Linked DNA regions of Mytilus edulis. The protein of the gene in region 1 purifies or fractionates together with the protein of each later gene. This does not show direct contact. Links are inferred from orthologs where the notes say so. Each region holds a gene or a part of one and is shown on either strand. Other genes may lie near its edges. The genes, in order: rapamycin-insensitive companion of mTOR-like and target of rapamycin complex subunit lst8-like.

Evidence for each region.
Region 2: the proteins of rapamycin-insensitive companion of mTOR-like (region 1) and target of rapamycin complex subunit lst8-like purify together in Homo sapiens (affinity purification with western blotting; 14 studies listed by BioGRID and IntAct, with this or other methods). This does not show direct contact. The link is inferred for Mytilus edulis from reciprocal best matches to the Homo sapiens genes RICTOR and MLST8.

What each region holds. Positions count from the first base shown.
Region 1 is NC_092344.1:106,558,849-106,566,087, forward strand, and holds the start of rapamycin-insensitive companion of mTOR-like, read left to right. Parts: upstream 1-4,079; 5' UTR 4,080-4,098; coding exon 4,099-4,156; intron 4,157-4,247; coding exon 4,248-4,295; intron 4,296-7,239. Other genes in the region: diisopropyl-fluorophosphatase-like, read right to left, coding at 3,723-3,905. UniProt on the Homo sapiens protein: Component of the mechanistic target of rapamycin complex 2 (mTORC2), which transduces signals from growth factors to pathways involved in proliferation, cytoskeletal organization, lipogenesis and anabolic output.
Region 2 is NC_092352.1:37,093,438-37,101,422, reverse strand, and holds the start of target of rapamycin complex subunit lst8-like, read left to right. Parts: upstream 1-4,800; 5' UTR 4,801-4,915; coding exon 4,916-5,038; intron 5,039-7,720; coding exon 7,721-7,772; intron 7,773-7,985. Other genes in the region: cytosolic Fe-S cluster assembly factor narfl-like, read right to left, coding at 425-673, 1,055-1,189, 1,688-1,820, 2,974-3,222, 4,654-4,719.

The DNA.
Region 1 (7,239 bases):
CTGACGTCATACAACAATCACTTTGGCGTCAGATATTTTGTATCATGATGTCAAAATTTTACTGGAACCTGTGTGATGTCCAGTAATGGCGGACAAATAGCGATCAGTGTATACTGCCTTCTCCTCATTCCGGTGTATCCCTGATTCCGGTGTAATGTTAAATTGCGGGTATTTGTTGAACTAAAAGCGCGTGCAAGGGTCAGGGGTTACAGGTTACAGACAACTGGTGCATCGCTGTCATCAAGAAATGTAAATACGTCAAACAGTCTTCATTACAGGTAAATATATATATATTAGCGCACGATAGTATGATTTCCATAATTCCCAAATTCATGCATATGCCATAAAATATCAAGCCATCTAAAAATATTGAATAATCATCCCAAATCGATTTATTGTTATTGATTTCTCGTCTGCCATTTGCAAGGCGTCCCAAACAACAGTCACGTGATGATACAGCCTCGATATGACTCTGAAAAATCTATGGAAAGCCTGATTAACAAAAATGAACACTTTTACAGTTTATTTTAGAAAAAAGTTATTAATCTCGTTTTTATGTTTATGAAACTATTTATGTTGATTGAATTTAATAAAAATTAATAAATATGAATATGAAGAACATATTACTGTGATTAAAGGACAAAATGCTTGCACAATAATTATTAAAAGAAATGTGCTTTATAATTAATTGAAGGTATAAAGGGGGGGGGGGGGGATGAAAATATTTTTTTCAAACTGAATTTAAGATTTTACTGATCTTTTGTAAATGTTTATGTCTATTCATTTTTATTACAGATATTTTTACAATGAAGAAAAAGCAGTATGATCCAAATGCGTTAAAATTTGCCTATGATGCTGTACAAAATGGAATGTCTGTTTACAAAGCTGCAAAAAACTATGGTATTCCAGAAAGCACGCTTAGAGATAGGACACTTGGTTTGGTTTCTGTGGATGGGAGATGCTCCAATTACCTTTTTGATGAGTCTACAGAGAAAAAAATGGTGGACCACATTGCACATATGGCCAGCATTGGTTATGGTTATTCAAGAATAGATGTCATTTATCTAGCAACTGATTTAGCTGTGTTTATGGGCAAGAGAAAACCTCAAGAGGATATATTGAGCAACAAATGGTATTACTCTTTTATGAAAAGATGGCCAAATCTAACTATTAGTAAACCACAGAAATTATCCATGCAGAGAGCTAGATGTGCATCAAAGGAGACACTATCTAACTATTACAAAGAGTTGGGCACTATTATGACCAAAAACAATCTGCATGAACAGCCACACAAAATATTTAATATGGATGAGAGTGCTCTACAAACTGAACATAGCCCAGGTAAAATTGTTCATGACATTGTTGTTAAGCCCCAGTCTGTCACATCGCCAAGATCTGCAAATGTCACTATAATTGGTGCTGGCAATGCAATTGGAAATGCTGTTCCACCTTATTATGTATTTCCGGGTGTTAAATTTGACAGGGCTCTACTTCTTGATGGGACTCCACCTGGTTCTGATGGCCAATGCAGTAAATCTGGATGGTCTAACAGTGAAATATTCAAAATGTACCTGGAAAAGCATTTTCTCAAGTATGTATCACATGATGTCTCTGGCACTCCTCTTCTTATATTGTTTGATGGCCACCGCTCACATGTGAGCTTAACTTTGCAAGATTGGGCTGAATCAAAGAACATCATTCTTTTCATACTTCCACCACACTGTAGCCACATTTTACAGCCATTAGATATAGGGTGTTTTGGACCATTAAAGGCTTGTTACAACCGGGAGGCACAGTTGTTTATGAGAAAAAATCCAGGATGTAAAATTACAAGGTATAACATAGGACAAATGTCTTGTTCTCCCTACCAGAAAGGTCTATCTGCACAGAACTTGATATCATCTTTTAGGAAAAGTGGGATATATCCTTTTAACCCAAAAGCTGTTGACACCAGCGAACTTGCTCCAGCTACAATTTACCCCACAGCTACATCAGATGAAGCAAGTACAATGAATAATACACAAATTTCACAAGAAGATGACAACACTTCCTCTCAGCAATTCAACAAAGCTGCCACTCTGACGATACAACAATTTGAAGCTTCATCATCAGCCCAAAAGGAACAAGATATCTCATCAGATCAAGATGAATCAAATAGTCAACCGTTGCTTACTCTAGTTCCTCCTGAAAGCAGGTACTCTGATGACATTCAAATATATACCGCAGAACCAATAATTGAATTGAACACATCAAACAACTCTTCGAATATAACCACATGTACAGTAAACAGTTCTCCATCCGGATTCCTGCTAAAAAGAAATGTTGTTTCAGTTGAAAAGACAGAAAAGAAAAGGAAACACTTCACAATCACAGGAAATTTAGGAAAAAAGAAAAATATGGATCATCTGAATCAGTCAAAAAAGAAAGGAACTTTTAAACCACCCTATAAAAAAGCAGAGCCTAAGACAGTTGAAAAGGAAACTAGAAATCAAAACAAAGCAGGAAAAGATACCAAAAAGAAGGCACCTGTAAAAAGAAAAAGTTCAACTGTGATGGAAAAAATTGAAAAAAAAATTAGATTATCAGAGGATGATGTTAATGCAGGTCTTGGTACATCTGGTTTAAACAAGGATAAAGGAGGACCAATATGTCTTGAGAATTCATTTAGTGACAGTGATGAAACCGATGATGACGACGGTGAAACTTGCTGTGTTTGTAATAAGAAATCTCCCTCAGAGATCAGACAACTAGCAGGAATTGTGTTTGTCAAATGGGCACAATGTGACAATGATAACTGCCGTCACTGGACACATCTCCAATTCTGTAGTGATGTTAGAGTCTTGCGGAGAGGGGATACTTTCTTTTGTCCACACTGTAAAGAACAGTAAACTGTCCAATATACAGAACACTATTCCAAAAACTGTTATTCTGATTTAAAAAAAAACAACAAACAATAGATTTAAAAGAACTGTTTAATATTAATGTAATTTTTCTATTTATTCAGTTAAAGTAGATTTTCAAAAAGTGAAACTTTGTGAAATATTTTTTTCCCACTATTGACATCAAAATAGAATTATTAAAATAATTTCCACAAAAGAGTGAAAGTAAAACAAAAATTTGAATGAGAATTTTTTTTTTTTATATAAATTTAGAAAAAAAATCTTGCATATATTGGACTTTTCAACATTTTTCATCTTGTCAAAAATAATTTGTGTATTTGTCCTAAATAAAATCGTGTTTTGCTGATCTGTACTTCTTACTAGAATATTAGCGTTATTTGATGCACAAAATAAGGTGCATTAGTGTTCCAAGTTGTCCTCCATACTATATTTTACCTTTGCACCGGAAAGAGGTTAATAGCAAAAACAATGATGGGTGGTGATCACCGATTTTCAATCATTTATTAAACTGATAAAACTTGACAAATGGGTAACATATTATGCATCATTGAAGAGCTAAATAACTGAATTTTATTTATTTCAATCATATTTGTTCCGTTTAGTTCGAAAAATGCGTTTGGAATAATGATTAACATTTTGACCACCGGAATGGGGTTAACCCAGTATATAGGGTGTCGGAGCTAAGGGGTGACAGACCAATTGGGCGTCAGACTAGTAGAGTTACCATGTTGGCGTATCAGGTCGACCCAAAAAAAATCATCACACCTTATATCTGGGGGGTTTTCAGGTACATGTTTAAATGAAAACGCTTCAAAAACATACTTTACAAGTTGAAAGATCAACTTTTAAAATCTGTCCTGCAAATGCACCATCTTTTTCAACCTCAGGAGCAACCATGTAAAAGTTTCCATCCTTATCAAACACTGGACCTTCCGACCCTAATAATTTGTCAGCAATCTTTGTAAATTCGTGTTGTGAAATTTTAGGGGCACCTGTGTCGGCCATGGTCAAAGTAGCTTTTGCTTGTCGTAAATTAGACAAGATGTAAACAAAGTAGTTTTGATTTACTTCAATAAATAAATTATTTTCAAATTGGTATTAAAATCTGAAGAGAACAAAGATTATTTTACAATTTAGTTGCCTTGTATCTTGCTATCGAATAATTTTACGACTAGCCGTAAAAATAGGAAGTAAAAATATGGCGGCCGTTGGGGCTCGCCAGGGCATACGGTCACACAAAACAGGGCGTTTTAAATGTATGTAAATCTTTCATGAAATCCTATTTACATTACATATCTCAATTATATCCTTAACTTTGTAACTATGTACTTTTTTCTTTCATTTCAGCTCGAAATGACAGTGGCGATGAAGTTTTTCGATTGGACTTTACCAAAGGTTTGTTATTTATGAAATGTCAACTTTATAATTACAACAAAAACAACTTGCTATGGGGAAACAAATATTCTCACAGTTGAAAAACATTGCACAACTACTGTCATTTTATAAGATTTGATTTACTGTGAATTTGAATTGTGCAGATCTGCCTGTCAGACCTGTCTACAGACAGGACATAACAGGCCTATTACAGTATCCATCATCTAAATGTACCATTTGGTGCATATTTCCCCTGGAAAAATTGACATATGAAGCAAATATCTTTACACCACATGTCATATGCCGAGTTTCCCCAAAATGACCTCAGGTAAACTTTGGCAGTGCATTCATAAATGAAAATTTCGGAAGCTTGTGTAGAGTTTGTGTATACACCTTATCGCTAATAGGGCTCTTCACGGTTAGTTCAACCATATTTGATAGGGGGCAGATTTTCATAATGGAGGTAAAAATGGTGTGAAAAATACAAGAAAACATCATATAAACAGAGCAGTTGCTTGAGGGGGGATAGGACCTTTATCGGGACTACGGAATCAGGTCTTTTAAGCTTGGGATTTCAGGATTGACCCTTATGTGAACCGGGAATTCTTTTTTGTGGATTTTTGGGACGTCAGGATTTAAAGTCTGGGATTTCAGGATCAGGACCTCTCCTATCCCCACATGCACTCTTGCTTGGAAACACACATAGGATTTCCCATACTTTCATACTATTTTCACATCTTTCTAAAAAAATCTGCCCCCTATCCAATATGGCCGAACTAACCTTGAAGAGCCCTATCCCGGCTGACCCGAGAATCTGTCCCGCTTGAACTATTGTCACTAGATATATGTTAAATATTGAAGTAAACAAATTCAGAAAATAAAATCATTTTAGTCATTTTGTCAATTTGATGTACAGTTCAGAATATATTTCAATTGGTTGGTTTTCTTTTTTATGCATACTGTGGATTCATTTATTTTCATTGGTATCAATTTTGGTGGATTGCTGAAAACTTTCATTTTCGTGGATATATAATTTCATGGTTTTGCCAATCTCTGTATATAAAGCCTATTGAAAATATGTTATTCGCTGAACATATGAATTTGTGGTTCATCTGTACCCACGAAACCCACGAAAATTGGTATCCAACGAATAAAAATGAATCCACAGTATCCAAGGGAGTTTCCCTAGGTAATTTGCGTCAACCAATTTGTTTGTATTAAGGGACTTTGATGTTAGTTTGAATGAAAATCAGAAATATAAATTAAAATGCTTGTTGAACACATTTATCTGATTAAAAATTGAATAAACTGGCCTTTCTACCTGCCACTAGTGAAAGCTGTGATGAATGCAAATCTTTCTTTAATTAATTGGTTTTCAAGTGCTTAGATATATGAGAACCCCCCCCAATTATTTTGTTTTTGTTTTAAATTGAAATTTTAATTATTCGAAGTAAATAGTATGACCCCCCTAAAAATAAGAAAAATCCCCCCCCCCCCCCCCCCATTTTTTTTAAATTTAAAATTTCAAAATATATATATCAATTCACCAAACAAATTTGACAAGACAGATTTTTTGCAGTGGTCTAAAACATTACAGAGAAAATGATTTCGGTATTTGTTTGATGATTGATGAAACAGACTATACTTAATAGACATTGAATTATTCCTCTTAGTACAAGAAAATGTTAAAGAAAAACTCTGGTTGTTCCCCTTGTATTCATTTGTTGTTTAATATAAACAAAAAAAATGAAATACTATTTTCTCAGGCGTGCAAGAACATACAATCAAATGTTTGGTTTTATATTGCTCTAATTGTAGATGACTGTTTAAAAAACCAAATTTCATTGGGTTATTTTGATATTTACAAAATTAAGTTGAAAGGCTACAAACTGACTTTCACCATCATGTCAGACCATACAGATAACAGCTATGATTTCTACTGTGACTCACAGGATCTGTTTTATTCTGCAAGAAAGTCTTTAAATATATACATGATATAAGATCATAAACATCGACGAACTGTTCTTTTGAATAATTTTTTCTATCAAATAGATTAAATATTTCTGGATATTATCAATAATTGGAAAATATATATATATACAGGTACACATGTTTATCATGTAAAAAAATATGTTTCCTTATTACATACATGTACCAGGTTGACAATACAATTTGAACTATTGACACTAGAAAACATCACTTACTAGATATCTAAACTCAAATAGATAACACATTTATTTTTACTGTTTAACAATGTTTAATGCAACTTACAGCATTATTGGCAAGTTATTACTGTCGGTTTAAGCCAATTGAGATGAAGCTAGCAATCCTGGTGAAGAAAGATTGGAGTTGAAGTCACAACCTCAGTGTTGAAATGCTATTGATACAGAAGATGAACTACTTATAAAAAAGAAGATGTGGTATGATTGCCAATGTGACTACTCTCCACAAGAGACCAAAAGACACCAAAATTAACAACTATAGGTCACCTTACAGCCTTCAACAATGAGCAAAGCCCATACTGCATAGTCAGCTATAAAGGCCCTGAAATGACAATGTAAAACAATTCTAACGAGAAAACTAACAGCCTTATTTATGTACAAAAAATAAACAAAAAACAAATATGTAACACATAAACAAACGACAACCACTGAATTACAGGCTCTAGACTTAGGACAGGCACATACATTCAGAATGTGGCGGGGTTAAACATGTAAGACCACATGGCCTCCAAGGCTATTAGCAGATAATTGATCATTCAGATTAAGTCTGTAAATTAAAACACTGAACGATTGTATACTTCCAAGGAAAAATTTATTCTGTTTTCAAATTTACCCTAGCTATGATTCTGCATCTAATATACCCAAGAATTACAAATGTACAAATGTAGTGTTTTTTTGTACATATATATAGGTAGACTGAGGCCATTACTAATCAACAGTCTTGTCATACTTGTGATTGTGAT
Region 2 (7,985 bases), on another chromosome or scaffold:
ACTAAGAATGCATTGTGATGTCACAATTTCCATTGAAAAATCATGCATGATAGAAATTCAGGTAAAGTACAAAAACACATCATGTAGTTTCTTTTTAAAAAAATTCCGGTAAAGTTTTACACATCTTTCTGTTCAGTTTAAAATAAAAAAGAAGATTTTTATATATGTTTTCGTACTTCATCTGAATTTCAATCATGATTCTTCTTGTCTCAAATTTATATGTACCTGCAGAAATGTATAACTCTCAACCAGATAAAAAATGACACAGAGGTTAACAATAATATATCACTGTACCGCCTGCAATGCCTACATTTAAGTTTTACTAGTCATACCCATTGGTTGAGTCTATAAAGGTGATATTTAAAGAATATTATACTTGTACATAAAATGGGAAAGGTAAATACTACTAAGTAGCGAACATTACCTGAGGTTATGACACAATCTACATCTCTTGTACTATAGATGTCATTGTAGAAATCTGATCTTGATGCTTCTAGTTTCTTATCAAAGCATGGCATGACTGTCACATGATAGATCAGGTTGGCTGGTACCCCTCTACTGGTTGCCATGTAATCCTTGACTAGAGAACCCATTATCTGCTGAGGAGATTTAGTTGTACTAATGTAGGGTAGGATGTAATGTCCATGTGTTTTCTCTGCATAGCAAATCCAACCTGAAGTTTTCACAAAAATATATTTATAATTTCATATAAATTGTACATGAAAATGTACTATTAAAATTTACATGTTGTTTAAAGAACATGTCATTCTTCCCATCCTTATGGATAATCTGATTATTAACAATGGACAGCAGTATTCGTCTGTTAGTATTGTCAATGATTGTAGTTGGTATCATTGATAAGACATTCTAAATGGAATGTTATATTTAATTTTCAATATATTTTTTAATGATATGAAAGTATAATATACTATTTTTTCATGATGACATAATGTGTACACCGGTGAGCCAAATGATACCACTGGTGAATCTTACTATTAATCGATGATAATATACATTGTGTCTTATTTTGAATTTTAACTTAGATGATATAAACCTGGACAAGCTGATGACAACATTGGTAAAGCTGTTTTGTTTGTTTCTGATTCCTTATATCTTTGTACAAATTCTCTGCAACTCTCTAACAAACTGAAGTTCCTGGAAAATGTGGTATCAAAAACATAATGTACACCTGAAAATATAAATTAACAAAACATTGAAAATTAACACATTTGCAGCATACACAATGTTGTACACAAAACCATATTTTTTTCTTTGTTGAACAAGTTGATAATTTCTGTGTACATGTGCTGGAATAAACAGACTACTCTGAATGCATGTTTTCAATTTTATTAAACTTTCCTAGCAGATAATCATTCATTGCCTAAATATTGTTCAACTAAGTGTACAGTTGCAAAACCCACCTGTTGTAAAGAGAATTGTTTTATTTCAAATGACCCCTAAATAAAATTTGGACACTTGTATGGTATTTATTTTAGCAAAACCCATTAAAACTTGCATCATGTTATTGGGTACTAAATTCAAATTTGTTTTGGGAATTTTAATCATATTATTATATTCCTAAAATTTCATTACCAAACAAGGGTTTGGAGCTGTCCTTTGTTAAATTTGCTTGTCTCAATTCATTTTTTCTTGTGAAGAAAAAGATTTATAATTTATAGATAATTACCTATTTTCTTGAAGAATCCTGTCAGTTTGGCAGCAGTTTCTTGTACAGATAGTTTATACTTGGCAGCTAATGAGGCTCTACACTGGGGAGCTATTGACACAACTACTAACTTCTGCTGCTCAGCTTGTCCAGTCTAAAATAAAGATGTCATACAAATATCATATAATCACCAACGTGTAAAAGCAAAAACTAGTGATGTTTTTGGATAGAGATAAATGTCTGCACAAATCAGAAATCAGTCCCATAGCTACATGTAGTCATGTAGATCACACTGTACACTTAATCATAAAATTTGGTTTTAGTACACAGTGGTGGATTTTTTATTTGTTTCATTAAAACATATGATTTTTTTTAGCAGTGATTCTTATAAAAAAAGAATTACAACTATTTGCCATCTTAAGGTAAGAAAAGATTTGTCTTTGAAAGAATGGAGTTTCTTTAATATGCAAATGATGTAAAAATGGCATTTTTACTGCTAAATATATCAAATCTTTCTTGAAATATTGCATGCAATGTGTCTTGCTAATAATTTTTTAGCCTCTTTTTTTTACACTTCTTCAATATCAAAAATATACAAATGTTTTAAAGGGAGATAATCTTAAAAATAATAATACATTTGAAATGCAATATATCATCATAATACCTACCGCGGTATATATTAATTCAAATATTGCAATGTGTATTAAATCATTTTAAGCACATTACACTTTTATTATTTTTTCAAAATACAAGTATTTCAAAAGAAGATAACCTAACTTTTGATTCTCATATGAAAGACTGGAGTTATACATGTATCCCATTGTTTGTGTTATACAGTGTTTTAACAGTTTAAACAATCATTCCATAAACTATCACACAATTGACCGTTAACTTATAGTATCTGAGAAACTGACCTTATCATGAACTCTTAATGTTGATCACTTACATATAGCTGTAGACAGGTGAGCCTTTAATCAGCATGTGTGTTTTGAAATAAATCTGCATACAATATATCATGACCTAGATTACTTGTATTAACTGGAAATTAGACTAAAAAACGATAGATTTTTGTGCTGTCATTAATCCATTGAAACAAGGTCAAGGACTAGACAAATTTGAATATGTAAAAAATGTATATAATGATCAGTAGTCCTTGACCTAATGTTCAGGTAACAAAGCATCTGTATTCAAAATACCAATCATACAGATCATTTACCTTCTAAAATATTCATCTTTATACTAAAACAAGCTAGATTAGCAGTATTAACTTCTTTAAATATTAGCTTCAGGCAAAATAATATGTTTACCTCCTGCAATCTCAAATTTTCTTTGAGTACTTTATAAAGTTCCTCTTGACTTTGTTGAGTTATAAGTACACTCTCTGCTGATGTTATACACCCACTACAAGCCAAACAGTCATTCAATGTGATCTTTGCCTTCTCTAGTCTGGTCTCTTGTCCTTCATCATTAACAGACAGATAAGAACCATCATCTTCAATTCTTATTTTACCAACTTTACCAGGTTTTCTGTCAATTTTAACTGGTTTGATACATTCCTTGAATAAATGAGGTAAAAACATAAATTTAAATTAAAAATAAATGAACGCAACTGTTTAATTGATATACATGTACCAGTAATTTGAAATTGATTTTTTTTCATCACATCACATATTTATCAATTATGGACTTTTGAAAAGGTCAATACATTATATATCATGTATATATGTACCTGTTCAGATTATATTGACCTAGGACGAAGTCTAATAGAAAATATTAGAGCATAAATATAAAGCTAGAATGGCAAAAATCCTGTACTTATTTAACTTGATATAGGAAGACAGTGGTATGAGTGCCAATGAGACAACTCTCCATCCAAATAACAATTTATAAAAGTAAACCATTATAGGTCAACGTACGACCTTCAACAGGGAGCCTTGGCTCACACCAAACAACAAGCTACAAAGGGCCCCAAAATTACTAGTGTAAAACCATTTAAACAGGAAAACCAACAGTCTGAGTCTAATCTATATAAAAAACTTGTTTACATCTATGCTAACTTTAATAGGGATGCAATTCACAACACTTATGAAAAGGGTTAACTGCTGTTGAACAAAGGTCTGCCAATTCACTCCACTAATGAACGATCATAAATCATCAATGACTTTTGACCAGCAAGACCGAAATATAAATGACCTTTATCATTTTATAAATTTATATTATCATGATTTTACCCTTTTTCAAAAAATAAGGCGAGAGGGCAGGTATTATGTTGTGCAACATTTGTATGGGGACAAAGTCCCCTTTTACGGTAGAAGAATAAAAAAAAATAAAAATTGGGAAAATTTCTAAAATATTTCATTCTACTAATGAACTCGAAATCGTTAACCTTTTTTTCAGACTTTTTTTTAATCCCCGCATCTGCACAGAAATCTACTTCCTTTTGCAGTCTTGTTTGCATGAGACTTTGAATAAAATATATATTTATCAGTCTAGTAAAATATATAGAAAGGAACTCAATACTAATTCATTTTAAAAAATTGTTTGTTTATATGAAAAAACGTTACATGATGACAGCGTTTCTTTGTTAACATGGAATATGACGTTATAACTTAAATAACGTCACAAATAAAATCGCTAATAACAGAAACCAAAATTGGAAACGTCACGGTATTTCTGTTTCTCTTTTTTTTTTTTACATGTTTGAATTAAAAAAATAATGCATGTATACTTCACAGGTAATGCCTGCCTCATATTAAGGGGGGGGGGGTAACCATAGTAGAGCGATTTGATAGAAAAGTGGGGCGAGTTGGTGAACAAGAATGGGGCGCTTTTGCAGTGGGGCGAGATGTCTTGTTTCACCAAAAGTCATTCGTACTAAATTTTGACCCCTCAAAGAAACATAGAATTAAAAAGTCTTTAGCATCAAGGAAAATAACATGTCTACATAACAAACGAACTGTTTATACTACAAAATTATTATGTTTAACCTGTGAAGGTGTGATAAAATCGTTCAAATCTGTTAGCTGTAGGGCTCCACTGAAGTTGGAAGCCATGTTTTTAGTTAAATTAGATGACCAATAAGAGTCGTCGAGACAATCCAGACCGCTAATCAAAATATTTCTAACAAGTGCGTTTGACAGTATTTATTTACTTCCGGTTAAACTTTATTTTGCAAGGCAGCTTGAGACAACATTTTAAAAGATGATTTCTTGAATAATAGATGTTGTCATCTTTTATTTTTGGTTTAAAATGAACGGATCAAACACAAATAATGATCCAATTATACTGGCAACTGCAGGATATGATCACACGGTCAGATTTTGGCAGGCTTACAGTGGAATTTGTCTGAGAACTGTGCAACATCCAGACTCTGTATCCATCTACAAAATCTGTTATAATTTATTTACCAGTTACCCCATCTGATCAAGTATTTAGATGACCTCTGAAGATTTCCAATGGTCATATAACCAAATATAAACATAAATATGGACACTTACACAAGTTATAACAACCTAATGCAGAGTAATTGTATGAATAGTAAAAATGATAATACATGTAGTGCCATTTTTTACTGCAGCAGATTCTTAATTTGAAAATTTATGTCTAATGTGATGTTCATGGCACATGATCAGATGAAATACATCATTTTCAAAATGTGTAATGAAAGAATATTATACTTATCATGTGTATTCAGAGCTTCAGATAAGCTGCGTATTTGCGTGATCACGCAATACAAATAATAAAAAACCCAATGCAATTGTCCATTGCAGGGTTCAATAACCCAATTAATTCAAAGGAAAACCCAATTATATTCCAAAACCATGAGTTCTCAACCCTTTTATTGGCTACCATTTGCGTTATTTACCCTTATCTGTTGCGTAAACTATTTTTATAATATTTATAATTGGAAATTTCCTTTCGTTCTAAAAATAGATCCCTGCATCAAGTAGCTGAAATGGGTCCCTGTTAGAGTTTTCCGTTGCTCAATAGGTACACGTGTTTTTGAAAACATTTCGATCTTCTCGGCGTTTATCCAATAAGCGTGTGTCATGAAGTCATATTTTTTTCGCATTGCTCGGGATTTATCATAACATACATTGAATTAAAACAAAAGTGAATGTCCGGTAAAAATATTGAATAGAAGCATATTTTCTGCTTCTTTTGAAAAGCTTAGGGAAAGTTATGATGATAACAAGACTCAGCCAGTGTTTTTAGGAAGCGTCCATCGAACACACGGGCGTGTGTGCGTACCTTAACGAGAACATTTCTAATAAAAGCAGGGTTTCCTCAAAAACGAAATCAGTTGGAAAGATGAAAGGCCAAATCAATTTAATATAACATGATAAAGCATCAGAAACCAAAAGTTCTAATAAAAGACAACTAAACCCAGATTTATGAAAATTGGAATAAAACAAAAACATTCAAGTATAATTAGAGTTTATATACTATTTTTTTTTCATTTTACGGTTAATTTATAATGAATATATACACACACAGGCACTGGTCTCAGAATTTATTACATAAAGGTACAAGACGAGTGCCTGTGAATACACATATCCGTTTTTTTTACAGTTTATATGAGAAAATACAAAACTGGCAGAAGGTTTGGAATGGAACACAAATTAAACCTACAATTGCTTCTCAGTCAATAAACCAAATAAAACAGCTAGCAAATAACCCTATAAACCCTAAACCAAATAAAACAGCTAAACAAAGAAAGAAACATATTTAAGATGGAAAAAAATCTGGGGTTGATATTGCCTAAATATTCAATATTGTGTTGATGAAAAAACCCAATACATTAAGAAGCTTGGTGTTGAAAAACCCAATTTGATATTAAAATGAGGGGTGAATTGGAATTGATAATGCAATTAAAAAACTTTATCACCCAATTATATAAGAAAATGGTGGGTAAAAAACCCAATTTGTGAATTCTTATCTGGAGCTCTGTGTATTACTAATTTTTATTTGATCTGTAAAATTAGTATAACTTTATCATTGTTATTACAGGGTGTTTTACGTTACTGATTAATAAATATCATGAACCCTAGCAAAGCGACTTTAGTTTTCCTTGAGGCCTAAAAGTCAGCTATTACATTAGCATGAACTGTTTGCATTAAAATATTGATGATAACATTATGAAAACTAAATTTTGAGGATAATTTTTTATGCAATAACATCTTATTCTGTTGTTTACAAATAATTTTCATTCATTGTCATGAGGATTCAGTGGAGGGTTAGAAGATAATTTGAAAACAGAAAACAGACCATAATTAGGTTGGCCTACATGTATGTATATAGAAAAAGTCCTTGATTTTAAATTAGAATTTAGATAGATTTGGAATTTAGAATTTGACAACCTGATAATGTCATCAAATTGAACATCTATTTAATGAACCAACATCCATTAGAGACTAGATGTTGAATCATAGTCTAAACAAATAGACTATAGGTAGTCAAAATGGTCAATCACCTCTGCGCTATGTTCCAGTTGTGTTATAGAGGTCACACCTCAACCTTCCCTTTTCATGTTAATAAGGGTGGCAAGATATATTAAATAGAATAGAATATTTTTATTTCCTAAATTACATGGCCCATAAAGTGCATAAAATCAGTATACATAAAATCAGGTACAATTGATTGACATAATTGGTAACCATGGTAACAACAACAATAATAGTCACAGAGTACATGAACAACATTCATGACATTCAAATTGTGCATTAACTTGTAGATTTTCTATGTCACAATGCATATGTAATACTTCACAGTAGAAGTCGCTTATTCAATAAAATTATTTCCACAGCTTGCCTGAACAATCTGTCAAAACCATGTACAATTATGATTTTTTTATGTTAAATTTTTTGTATTCTTATAAACAAAGATTTACACCATACAATGTCAAAGTTGAATAAAATGGTTTTTTATGTGATTTTAGCTGAAAAAAAACATCCTCTAGTTTTCGAAGCGATAGATAAATTATCATATATCATGTGCCATATATATTCAGCACAATTCTGAGCTGCCTGTGTTTTTCCTTAATTTGTTTTCTAGCAAGTAAATGCATTGGAAATCACTCCAGACAAGCAATTGATTGCTGCAGCTGGTGAGTTTGTAAAATTTATACAAAGCATACTCATTTACAAGACTTAAAAACCAGTTGTAAGCAAGTTTCAAATAGTAAAATTCCCTCATCCAGAAAACAAGGGTATATTTATATAATTATGATGTTTGGTATGGTTAAAAATTATTTATGTGGTATGTCATGATCTCAAACTCATTGAATGGAGTATAGCAATAATCTAACCTGCTTTACTTG